Linked DNA regions of Schizosaccharomyces pombe. The protein of the gene in region 3 binds, or shares a complex with, the protein of the main gene of each other region. Each region holds a gene or a part of one and is shown on either strand. Other genes may lie near its edges.

The links. The genes of interacting proteins can lie anywhere in the genome.
Region 1: sft1 (region 3) and bos1 share a complex: the UniProt entries of both Schizosaccharomyces pombe proteins name them as parts of the SNARE complex.
Region 2: sft1 (region 3) and gos1 share a complex: the UniProt entries of both Schizosaccharomyces pombe proteins name them as parts of the SNARE complex.

The regions. Positions count from the first base shown.
Region 1 is NC_003424.3:1,923,140-1,927,220, reverse strand, and holds bos1 (SNARE protein Bos1), read right to left. Parts: upstream 2,141-4,081; 5' UTR 2,120-2,140; coding exon 2,096-2,119; intron 2,055-2,095; exon of another isoform or gene 2,045-2,054; coding exon 1,948-2,044; exon of another isoform or gene 1,876-1,947; coding exon 1,289-1,875; 3' UTR 682-1,288; downstream 1-681. Other genes in the region: metallopeptidase Oma1, read right to left, coding at 1-482; tos4 (transcription factor), read right to left, coding at 2,458-4,028. UniProt on the Schizosaccharomyces pombe protein: SNARE required for targeting and fusion of ER-derived transport vesicles with the Golgi complex.
Region 2 is NC_003424.3:779,232-784,100, reverse strand, and holds gos1 (SNARE protein Gos1), read right to left. Parts: upstream 2,741-4,869; 5' UTR 2,615-2,740; coding exon 2,066-2,614; 3' UTR 1,960-2,065; coding exon of another isoform or gene 1,765-1,959; 3' UTR 1,664-1,764; coding exon of another isoform or gene 1,397-1,663; 3' UTR 1,299-1,396; coding exon of another isoform or gene 957-1,298; 3' UTR 682-956; downstream 1-681. Other genes in the region: atp10 (F1-F0 ATPase assembly protein), read left to right, coding at 957-1,298, 1,397-1,663, 1,765-1,959; SPOM_SPAC4G8.09 (leucine--tRNA (Leu) ligase), read right to left, coding at 2,945-4,869. UniProt on the Schizosaccharomyces pombe protein: Nonessential SNARE involved in retrograde transport within the Golgi complex.
Region 3 is NC_003424.3:413,437-416,649, forward strand, and holds sft1 (SNARE protein Sft1), read right to left. Parts: upstream 1,404-3,213; 5' UTR 1,365-1,403; coding exon 1,248-1,364; intron 1,194-1,247; coding exon 1,035-1,193; 3' UTR 809-1,034; downstream 1-808. Other genes in the region: rod1 (arrestin/PY protein 1), read left to right, coding at 1-438; bun107 (WD repeat-containing protein), read left to right, coding at 1,970-2,249, 2,327-3,213. UniProt on the Schizosaccharomyces pombe protein: Vesicle SNARE required for retrograde transport within the Golgi complex.

The DNA.
Region 1 (4,081 bases), 1.5 Mb from region 3:
GGGTCTCGAATTACATGTAACTCCCATTTCAAATCAGACATACCAGAAACAGCTATAATTCTTTTAAGGACACGTGAAACATAAAGGGTAGTAGGATGGTAACTTGGTAACATACGGTCTCCGTACTCAGACATTACTTCTTTGTAGGCGTCTTGTGCCATTCGCTTTTCAAAATCTAAAGAAACATCATTAAACCTTCGACGGTTACTTATAGGAACGTATTCCAAATGTGTAAAATAGTATACACCTCCTCCTGCAATAAGAGCACCAAAAATCCATTGAAACCTCTTGTCTCTAGGATTGGGCTGAAATGATTTATATACCACTCTGTTTCTATTGGACCAACTCAAGTTGTTGCTTTGAAATCTTGCCTGTAATAAACCATTGAAATTTCGATAACTACATTTCTTGTATGATAGAACTGGAGCGCAGCTCACAGCCCTGGTTCTGGAATAGTTTGATATATACTTATTTAAAAACATTAAATAATTCTTATAGGAATTACTAAATATTGGCGCTAGATATTTAAAAAGATGAGAATGGAGGATAGTTTGGTGTATTATGGTATACGAAAGGATAATCGCTAACGATATTAATTTTAACAAACGTGTCTCGAGTTTCTTTAGTAAAAGTTAACTTCATCCAATACAGTTATTACAATATATATGGTACAAAATTAATATATATGAATACAAATTTCAATTGGCTTTCGACAAATTCTTAAGTTGCATTGAAAACGGTTGACAATAAAAATAGTGTAAAACAGTCGTCAACTAACGGTTCGTGATGACAATTAGTTTTAGTCTATTTTATTATTTTTAATACATAGCTTAACTGAGCAAATTACGAAGAAACTAAGGAAAAAAAACTATTGCCCATTGGTAAGTTAATTTTCTCTTGGATATTAAAATAAAATGAAATGGAATCACAATTGAAGCATTTCAAAGCAACCGCCTGAAGAGAAGGTGTTTTAGTCAAGCATTACCGCAACGGTATTAATTGATTGACAAACTAAGGATTTAAAAAAACACAAAGAAAGAATTAGATTTAAAAGGCCCATAAGTGCGTGATTAGTGGAATGTCATAAACAGAAGGAAAAAAACACAACAGTAATAGCTTGCAAGGAGAAGCTAACAAGTGCAAAATGTATAGCTTATTTTTAAAAATAATTAATAAAAAATTTAACTCTCAAGAAGCTCTTCAAATTTTTTAATCATCTTTGATTTTGTTGTACTGCCCCATATCATATAAGAATAGTAAATTTAAACAAGCCAACGACATGAACATGTTAGCGTAACCACCTGTAAATCAAGTAAAAGAGGACAAATACAAGGAATGCTCCACAATAAAATATAATCTTGTCTTGTTTGGACCTACGGTTGATTAAAGATAGAGTATGGCGAGTAATGCCAAGGGTATTGGCGGCATTCAGTACTTTTGTCTTAGTAGCTTTTAAAACGCTTCCCTGCTCAACTAAATCACCAAGAATCATCCGCCCACGTTCTAGAAATTCGTCAACTTGAGATTCTGCACGACCAAGGAAATCATGCTCCTTTAATAAACCATCTTGTCTGCTTAGATCTGATGGCCCTTCCACAATTTCTGCATCCGTTGTTGAATTTCCGTAGGGACTATCAAGAGAGTTCACATACCCACGCCTCCCTAACAATTCTTTTCTATTTTTTGCTTGCGCAATGTCACGAACGTGTGCCTTCAACTCATCAAATTTTTCCAACAACTGAACATGCTTTTGACGGAACTCTTGGATTCGTATTGTAGCTTTTTTTTTTTTAGCGGGAACCAATTCCCTTTGGACCATACTATCGTAGTCATCAATGGATCTGGATAATGACAGAAATGAAGCTGAGATCTGGCCTAAATTGATTTGCATTAGTCTCATGAATAACTTGGTTAAAATAAGTACCATAATTATTCATCTACACATACCCTGAATTCCAGCTAACGATATAGTGTTGCTCTCATCTTGAACACCACGTTCTAACTCATCGAGGCTTCGCTGAATGGACTGAAACAACTTTGTACACTAGCGAAATACAAATTAATATGTTTTCTAAAACTTTAGGAAGTTACATACGTGATTATAAAGAGTATTGCTCATTCTCTTGCCGTAGTTGGTTCCAATATGAGGGTAATTTATTTTCTTGTCTTTGATATGACAACACATGTAGCAAGTAACACGTTACTTGAATGCTATATCAAAATTGTAAATAGCTTAAAGTAGCAATTTATTTCTATACATTGTAAATACAGTTTTATAAAAAAGAATGCGTTTTTTTACCCAAAATTCATATTAAATGTAAATCACTATTGAGTTCAATTGTATTTTGTTGAACCCCATTTGAAAAATCTAATAATTCCATTCGTAATAACGAAATGTATACAATATCAAAAAGCGAAATTTTATAGGGGTCGTGTCTGATGCCAGCATTCAATTCGTTATGAAAGACGACGACGCCTAGAAGAATGTCCCGATGAACGTGGACGAGCTCGGGGCTTTTTCCAATAATATTGTTTATGTACACGACGTGAGGATCTTACTGGTCTCATTAATGGAGCATATCTCATACGCCGTTCTAAATCATCATCCACATCTGGGTTATAAAACCATTCACTCCACAATGGATCACCATTAGCATCAGTTCCGTAACGTTTAACCTCTTCAAAGTAGGGGTGCTTGGCTGCCAAGTCTCGAAGCTTGTCCTGAATTAATTGAAGTGGCATATTGGAAGGAAATAAATGCGAAAGTGCAGGAAGGGGAGTAGTTGAAGTTGTTGAGAAAACCAATTCATCTAAAACCAATCCTAATAATAAGCTATCGGGAGCTGAATTTTCTTTTGTTGATTCTGAGTAATCATGGCTAGAAGGGAGGGATTCATTACTGTCATTAGTGTTCTCATCAACAGCAGAGATGCTTTCGTAGTCTTCAGGTTCCTTCTTTTCCACAACTGCTGAACTCAATTCAGGAGCCATTGGCTCAACTTCGTTCACTGGGGAATCATTTGAAGTTGTAATATTAGAATTCTTTGAGTCATCATTATGGTTTGTAAAATTAAGTTCAGAGATAACGTCCGTTAGTCCAGCGGACGATTCATCAATTTGTATAACGCTATCCCGTCTTACTGTTATAGGCTCTTTTGACTCTTCAATTGGAGTGTATTCTTCACCTTCACTAATTTCCTCATTTTTATCAAGATCATCACTCTCGATTTTTTCGTTCTCAAAAGAAACCTTAACTTCTCTTAAAACGATGTTATTATCATCAGTGCCATTGAGTAAATCGTCGGTGTTCTTTGGGAGAAAAGATGGTTTTAATTGTGTATTTTTGGAACAATCAGACTTTTCCACCTGACCATCTTTTTCTAAGGCAAGAAGCTTTTGTAACAAATCTTTGGATGGAGGAGGATATACTAATTCGTTACTACGCAAGTTTAGCTTAGGAATGGATTCGGAATTAGTGTACAATATGAGATGATTCTGATCGTTTTGATAGTCTTGAGAAGGAGGTGATGAAGGCATCAAAGGTAAAGCTTCTTGAGGTGAAGGAGACATAGGTTCACGATTTTCTTCATAATTTTTAGCATTAAGATTTCCTTCCCATTCATCTTCAGAATCACTTGGCCAACCAAGAAGAACTCGGTAACCGAATACATCCAGTACAGGACAAGCATCCGAATTCGGTCTTACCAGGACAATCCGATCATTTTTCTTCATGTGGAATACTGACTTCCTCATTTTATCAGACACAATCATCCCATTCCAACCCACGCACTCAATAATCATGCGGTCTTGTGTACAAGTTACAATAGCATGTACACGAGAAATTGCTTTATCAACCGTGGATAGGACATGGTCACATTGTTGACTAGAACGGCCAATTTTATTAACGCGATGTGAACGCATCCGTACAAAAGACATTGGAGAAAGTGGCTCTCTTCTCACTGCAGAAGCAGGCGAAGAGGGGGCATAGAATGTATTACTAGATGGCTCAGGCGTGAGGACGAATTGGCCTAAATTAATATTAGTAAAAGTTAGATTCAAGTCAATTGGTAAAGAGGCATGA
Region 2 (4,869 bases), 370 kb from region 3:
CAGATTGGGAGCCATTTGAATTCGTTTTACGCAAACAACGACTATATTAGCTTACATACGCCAATATACTAATACTAGTTCAACGATTTATTTGTTGACGGAGAATTATTGCGCACTTAGTTATTTTTTTGTATCACTAACTACTTTAGTAGGTTCACTTTCATAAGTGGTCAACCCCCCCACATAGTACTTGAGGTAGTAGACGAAGTCATAATTGCTATTCAAGTGAGTAATGTCTTAAAGAGAATATGGACCCCCCATTAGTACTTTCTAACCCACTTGGAAATTGAAATTGCTTTGATTTTTAAGCATTATGAATTAATATAATATTAATGCGTATTAGCTTATATAAACGATTACTAAATTATATTCTCATAGTTTTTCATGCATCTACATAAACAGTCGGCAGGGACGTAAAAAGCTACTCTTTTAACTATGATTTTGTATTGTAGTACATTAAGAAGGGTAAGTAAGGTCTTTATATTGTAATCTCTACGCCCTGGTTGACAGCTGTTTTAATAAGCTAGAATTTTTCGCTAAATGAGTTTGCTTTAAACATTGAATTAATTAGAAAGGTTTGTATTGTTCATTATCTCAGCATTCCATTTCCTATCCTTACATGCACGTTCAATGTAAGTTGAAAAGATAGTATTCAATGAAAGATTCGCAATCCAATGAAAAGCCAATTTTAGTCTTGAATTATATTACAATGAAATTAAAAGGAGAAAACCTTTATCGTAGATATATACTAATGTCCAAAAACAAATTAAAAAACCAAAATGAAAATTAAGATATGAATTTTTAACGTCAGAGTACTTCCACCTGTAACAACAGCTCCTTTCTGCTATACCTATCTATTGAAGTTTATAATAATAATTAAGTTCATCCTTGCGTTTCTTAAATCGCATAATAAATTAAAGATTATTTCCCCTTTAATCTACCTATAATTGGTAAACATGGCATATAATTATTTAAAAAATTTAGTCATTCCGAGGTTGATTGTTAAGCATCAGTTCAAGTTGCGTTCTTTTAGCACCAAAAGTCTCAATGATACAAAAGAAAAAGCCCCATCTGCTCTCATTCCAGTAGGTTTACTGGTAAAACCGACGATGCTTTCTGAAGTCCAAAAGCCAACATTATGGGAAAAACTTACCAAACCCGCGAGTACATCTTCTCCTGAGCAAAGACAGAAGGAGCTGCTGAATGAAATGAAGAGATCAACTATTCAAGATTTCAACGAAGTTCGTCGATTTAATGGTAAGCTGTTTTACAGTCCTCCAAGATTATTTAAGGAGAAGGTATGAACAATTGGTTAAAAGTAATATTCATTTCTGGAAATTTCAAATAAGAATGAAAAAAAATTAGTTTATTGCTTAAAAATATTGACACGTTTTAGAGCGCCTTATGGATGTACAACTTTCATGGGAAGTCATTACGAAATCAGTACAAAGAGCTATATAAAGATTGGCAAGGCTCGCCCTTTTTCTTTGCATTATTTAGCAACGCGTTTGGAGAAAACCAATGTAGGAATTGGATTCAACATCTAGCTCCATTTGATTATCTGCCAGTTCGTTATGCAAATGTTCAATCCAATCTAATAAAATATTGGCTACAGAAGATATTTATAGGAAAAGTTAAAAGATCAATACCAGAAAAGTGCTGGGTAAGTAGACGCATTATTTGTCCAAGCTGCTCACAAGTTTGTTCGCTTGATAAGATAGATTTATTTACTTCCAAAATTTATAACCTTTTGCTAACTAGCAGAATGAATATATTACAGCATACGACAATAAGTTCAGTTTCCCAGAAATAGGATGGAACAACAAACTTGTTGGAAATGTGTATTTAATTGACGATTCCTGCAAAATTCGCTGGCTTGGAACCGGTGATCCAACTAATGTCGAAATTGAAAACCTGAAGACAGCGATTAAGTTTTTGGTAAATAAAAACGTTGGTTAAAAGTAAAAGGACTTTTATATTATTTCATCTTAATTAAACCTTTATGACATATTCATAACTTTGGCGGGATCAATGCCCTTCATAAACGTTTCATAAAACATGCAACTTAATGAAAAAAAAGGAACAAAAGCATCAAGACAGATATGAGTAAAGCTAAAATGATAGAATCACGTCTTCGACGGATCGAGGTTTTCCTTAATATTTGATTAATAAAAGGGATTGACATGGCCGCCCCGTTTATGCGATTGGTCACATTTCCTAAGACGCTATTTTGGTAATCAAAGTCTTCCCTCGTAGCATAAGCTCTTTCAAGAAGCTCATTAGTGCCTCTAATAGAATTGTCTAAAGAGTTTGCCTCTTGCATTTCTAAAAAGTTTTGTGCATCTCGTAATTCTTCAGGAGATAGAACTTCCTGTTTCGCATCATATTTTTTCAAAACGCCATTAAGAAGTTGCTCATCTCGTTTTAGTCTTTCAAAATGTGATTTGATAGTAGCCATTGAATGCGAGTCATTTTCGTCAGCTGAAGAGTTGGCTTCTTCAAGAAGCTTCCTTCTTTCCTCTAGCAGAATTTTAGCTTGGTTAGGATCACTGTGCAACGATCTTTGGAACTGAGACGCTTTTTTCACCGAATCTCTCAAAAGCATAGACTTCATGGCTAAAGAGATCTTCAAATTTTTATAAGAGAAAAATTAGTAGCTTAAGTTATGATTTTAAAACAAACGTTTCTCTTCTGTTGATTAATGTGGCTTTCAGATGACGTTCTTACTAGTATGTAGTTTAGAGAAGTATCCCACTACGTAGAGATTCCTAAATATACCAGTGATAGAAAAGCTATGCTACTAGAAAACATTGTGATATTAAGATAGGATATTTTTCATTCAAAATGAATTTTAAGCATTAAATTAACTACGCAACCAACATTGCATTGTTATGGTAAATATCAAAATTATTTTGAAACATGAAGCTCGTGTCTCAACCAACTTTCAGTCGGTGACTAAACTGATGATTTTTTGTTTCACAAAAGATTTTAAAACTTTTTTATTAGAGAGCCAACGTTTCCCATCATTCGTCTCAAGCACAAAATTTAGTATTTCATTTTCATCATTGAGTTTGGGCATTTCAATCTTAAATCTCACCTTACCATTAATTTGGACAGGAATAGTAACGGGCTCCTCCATATTCTCCTTTTTATTTTTGGAAATGGGCCAGTTAGAGTAAACGGAAGAATTATGTCCTAGCAGCAACCAACACTCACTTGAAAAACAAGGTATTATTGGAGCAATACATTTCACAAGCACTTCCAAAGATGCTTTAATTGTTCCGATATTGACTTTGTTATTTTTTAAAGCATCTGCTATATTATTAGTCAATTTCATGGCGTCAGAAATTACTAAATTGAGAGAAAATACATTTTCATAATGAGCAGAACATTGTGAAATAAATTCATTATATTGTGATTCGAGTTTCCTGCTATTGTGATCGTCGACAATAGTTAACTTCGTTTGTCTCATCGCATCAGACATTTTTTTCTCACGTTCCAATAACTGATGAACACAATTCCATATTTTGGTTAACCACCGTTTTGTTCCCATTATTGCATTTTCATTCCAAAGGAGTACGCCTTCCACTGGAGCTGAAAATATTATGTAAGCTCTAATAATGTCTGAGCCATATTTTTGAATAGTACGTATCGGATCTACACCGTTATGCTTGCTTTTGCTCATTTTCTGGTAAGAAAGTTGAACTTTCTCTTTAGGATTACTGATTAGAAAATATTCGTCTCCAATTTTCTGGACTTCTTTTGGATTAAGTATTCGTTCATCCGACATCGTTGTATAAGTAAGACCATGAACCATCCCCTGAGTAATTAGTTGAGTAAATGGTTCATTTAAATATTTATCACCATTCCATAACCCAATATCCTTCATGAATTTTGAAAAAAACCTGGAATATAGAAGATGAAGTATTGAATGCTCAACGCCACCAATATAAATATCAACAGGCATCAAAGAGGACGCACTTGCTAAACCTACAGGAAGCTCCGAGTTTTTAGAATCCAAAAAACGAAAATAATACCATGATGAGTCTACAAATGTGTCCATAGTATCAGTTTCTCTTGTTGCTGGGCCATGACATTTCGGACAGGTTGTTTTCATCCATGTTTCTAGATTTGATAACGGCGAAGTACCTTTTTCATATATTTTATCAAGATCAGGCAACTTTACAGGAAGTTCAGATTCAGGGACTGGGACAGCACCACAGGTTTCGCAGTGAACCATTGGTATAGGAGTACCCCAAAATCTTTGTCTTGATATAAGCCAATCTTTGAGTCTATAATTTTTAACACGTTTGGCTAATTTCTTCTCTTCAAGGTAACTGACAATCTTTTGCTGAAGCATTTTTTGCTTGATATCCATTAAATTCGAAGAATCATGATGATTCAAAAGTTCTTTTCCCTCATTTGTAAAATATGAACCTATACAACTTTCTTTAGAAAATATTATGTTATTACGCTTAGCAAACTCAAAATCTCGGCGGTCGTGAATAGGTGCGCCCATAACGGCGCCAGTACCATAACAGTCCAAAACGTAAGGAGCATAAAATATTGGTAAAGCTTTGCCAGTTACTGGATTTTTTGCAAAGCACGGGAGCTGATATCCTTTGTCTAGTAAGGATTCATTGCGAAGATGTTCTGCCAACGAAGGATCCTTTTGGGATTCTAGTAAAACAAGTTTATGGTTTTTTGAAAGAGCTATAAAACTAACATCTATTATTGTTTCAGGTTTAGTAGTGAAAACTGTAAGAGTTTCTTTATCGTTTAGCAAAGGAAAAGATATTTCAAAACCCGTAGTTCGACCAATCCAATTGCGCTGCATCTTCTTTACTTTGTCAGGCCATTTTGGTAATG
Region 3 (3,213 bases):
AGTTTGGCAGATCTGAGCAGAGTCCCTTCTTATAAGGAAGCAACAAGATCAGCCGTTCCATTAGAATCACCCTTACAATCAACATTACCTAGTTATGAAGATGTTGCACGAATTGAGCACCTTTCACGTCCTCCATCACCTGGTATCGTTACTCCACCACAACGTACATCTCCTTCATTTTTTGTTTCTCCAACTGAAAGTACACGACAATCCTTGGATAGTCGTAGGTCATTCGAACACTCCACATCTTCTTCTTCGGGTATAAGCCCATCTCACAGTAGTGCTTCTTTAGCTCATCTTTCTCAAGCCTCCAATCCAAATGGATCGTCTTCTGCCCCGCATAGGCCCACATCAGCTCGTGTAGGAAGTCACCGAAACGCACTAGACGCTTTAAGACGGGCGCGTATGCTTCCATCTGGATTTTCAAGAAGAAATTGAAGTTTTGAGCACTATTTTTAAATTTTTGCGCAAACATCGGAAAAAGAGTATTCATTACCTGTACTTCCGTACATTTGAATGCTGTGTTCTTAAAAAAGCCTAAATCAATACAAACATCTCATGGTCTGCATGCACAAAGCTTGAACGTGAAGCTAAGGTGTTAAAATTTTTATTATTATTTATTTTTGTGCCCTTCCTTTTGATCTTTTTTTTTTTTTTTTTGCCGGTTGAAGGTGAATGAATACTTAGTTTGTGGCACAATGTCATGATTCTATTCAATTAGTACTGCGTCTCTTTGCTTAAAACTCTTTCCTAAAAGTGAGGAATATCAAGCTTAATATGGATATACAGTCATAATTAAATTTTTTATTATTTTTACTTTTATGGTGGACTTATTGAAATTTCGAGGAAGGAGTAGTATTTCGTTAAGAATATTTCATGTAATTCTGCGCTTATATTTTCAAATTTATCTTCAGAATATTCATCGATAAATTTATTGCCTATAAGAATTCAAAGCTTGTACATTTTATAATTTTGAAGCAGGAGGTTATGTCATTATATCCGTTCCTTTATGTAGCATTCGCTTTCATGTCGTGTTAAAAAAACCATTTGGATGCATAGTAGATTATTAGTATACTCCCTACGATTGCCAGCACCATTGTCATGATTCTTCGTCGTCCGGCACTTCGAACCACACGGAAGAAATTTTCGGTGGATTTTTTAACAGAATTTGAAAGTCCTGAAAAGCTTTCAGTCTATAATAATACAGGTTAGGTAAAAACTCAAATTTTTTTTTTTAAATTACATACAGCCCGATCAATTCGAGTATAGTCATTGGCACGGGAATAAATATCGTAGGTTACGTTTTTCAAAGAAGAAACCTGCCCAGACAGAGTTTCCAAACGCCGCTCATTTTGATCATTCATTATAGAAATAACTTTTACAAAAATGAATGTACATACGTTAGCATCTTTCTATATCACTTGGAGTACTACCAAAATTTAACGACATTTAGGACGTGGTGATAAATCCTTTAACGAATCTCCTAACTTGATTCTATTTTCGTCGAGCTCAAACATAATGTTATCTACAATTCTTAGCATCAGCCGCCTAATTATTGCTTTATCAAATGCCAATATCGATCGGACTACTTATTAGTAGGTAAATGGTTTGGAAGTTCATCGTTTCCATCCATTTTTAATGAGCAGTAGGATCCGTTCTTTAACATCTGAGTTATTTGAGGAATTGCTATTCATCGCTAAGTCAAAACATATAATATATTTGTATAGGTACTCGCTACCAAAATATTTGGATCCATTACTGTTTCCTGTTTCCAAGTAAAAGGGTTTATTTATCCGCTGCGTTTTAGACTCAGGACACACTATCTTTCTGCAATACTTTTGAACCTGAATTCATTCAATAAATTGAATTCGACATCATATAATATAAATTTTTATTTTTTACGTTTGAATTGGATTTTTTGTTTATAATTGCATTGTTTTAAGAGATTAATAATTCATTTATTGTTCTCATGAGTGTTCGGAAACGGTACAAGGTTACTTATGTTCTTGATTCCTGTAACGATCAACTAGGGCACCGTTTGGATGCTAATTGTCTAGTGCTAGGTCGGTACTTTTCAGAACAAGGGTCAGCACCAGTTACTAGAGCACTTTACAGTGGTGGCCGAGATGGACAGCTTTTCGGTTGGGACATCGGGTATGATTATGGTAAAGCTTCCCAGCCCTTAGCCAAAATCCAGGCTCATTCTGCTTGGGTAAATGATATAGCTTTAACACATGATTCCGAAGGAGGTAAGCCTTTGAAAAATTTAATTATCTCTGGAGAATAGCGGTAGCCTTATAGAAATTGACGTTCTAACATTTATTAGTGATATCTTGTTCTTCTGATTCAACGGTGAAACTCTGGAAGCCACATGTCTTGAATGCTTCTTGTTTATCAACAATTGGCGAGCATACCGACTACGTAAAGCGCGTAAGCATTCCCAAATATTCCAAGAGTCCGTTAGTCGCTTCGGGTGGGTTGGATAAAAGGATAATTGTATGGGACTACAACGTAGGTCAAGAAGTTATGCGATTTGAACAGTTACCTGACTGTTCTCTTGTTGTTGGTCCAAGATCTGGTGTTTACTCGCTGGCAGCGAATAACAACATAATTGCTAACGGCGGACTACAAAAAGACATTCAGTTATGGGATTGTGTTTCCAAGAAAAGGATTACAGATTTAGTCGGTCATACTGACAATGTTCGAGATATTCTAATTAGTGATGATGGCAGAACAATTCTCACAGCCTCTTCAGACGCTACAATAAAGCTTTGGTCTCTAAGGGCGCAAAAATGTTTATTCTCTTTCATAGCTCATTCAGACAGTGTATGGGCATTATATTCTGAGCACCCAGATTTAAAAGTATTTTATGCTGGTGATCGCTCAGGCTTGATTACTCGTACTGATATAAGAAACCAGCCTAACAACCAAAGCTGTACTGCAATATGCAAGCAGGATGCTCCTGTCTCTGACATTGTTGCTCGTCAATCTTTCATATGGAGTACTAGTCGTGATGGCTCCATTCTTCGTTGGAAGGATGAGCCCCTCTTTAATCAGGACGTGGGAGCAGCATTATCTAAGCATACCTCATCTCATCTTTCTGTATCATCGGACTGTCCCTCGAGACATTCTTCTGACATACGAAATCATAGCTGTCCAACATTATATCACGACGATGCTGAGGATATATATTATGATTTGCATCATACTGAG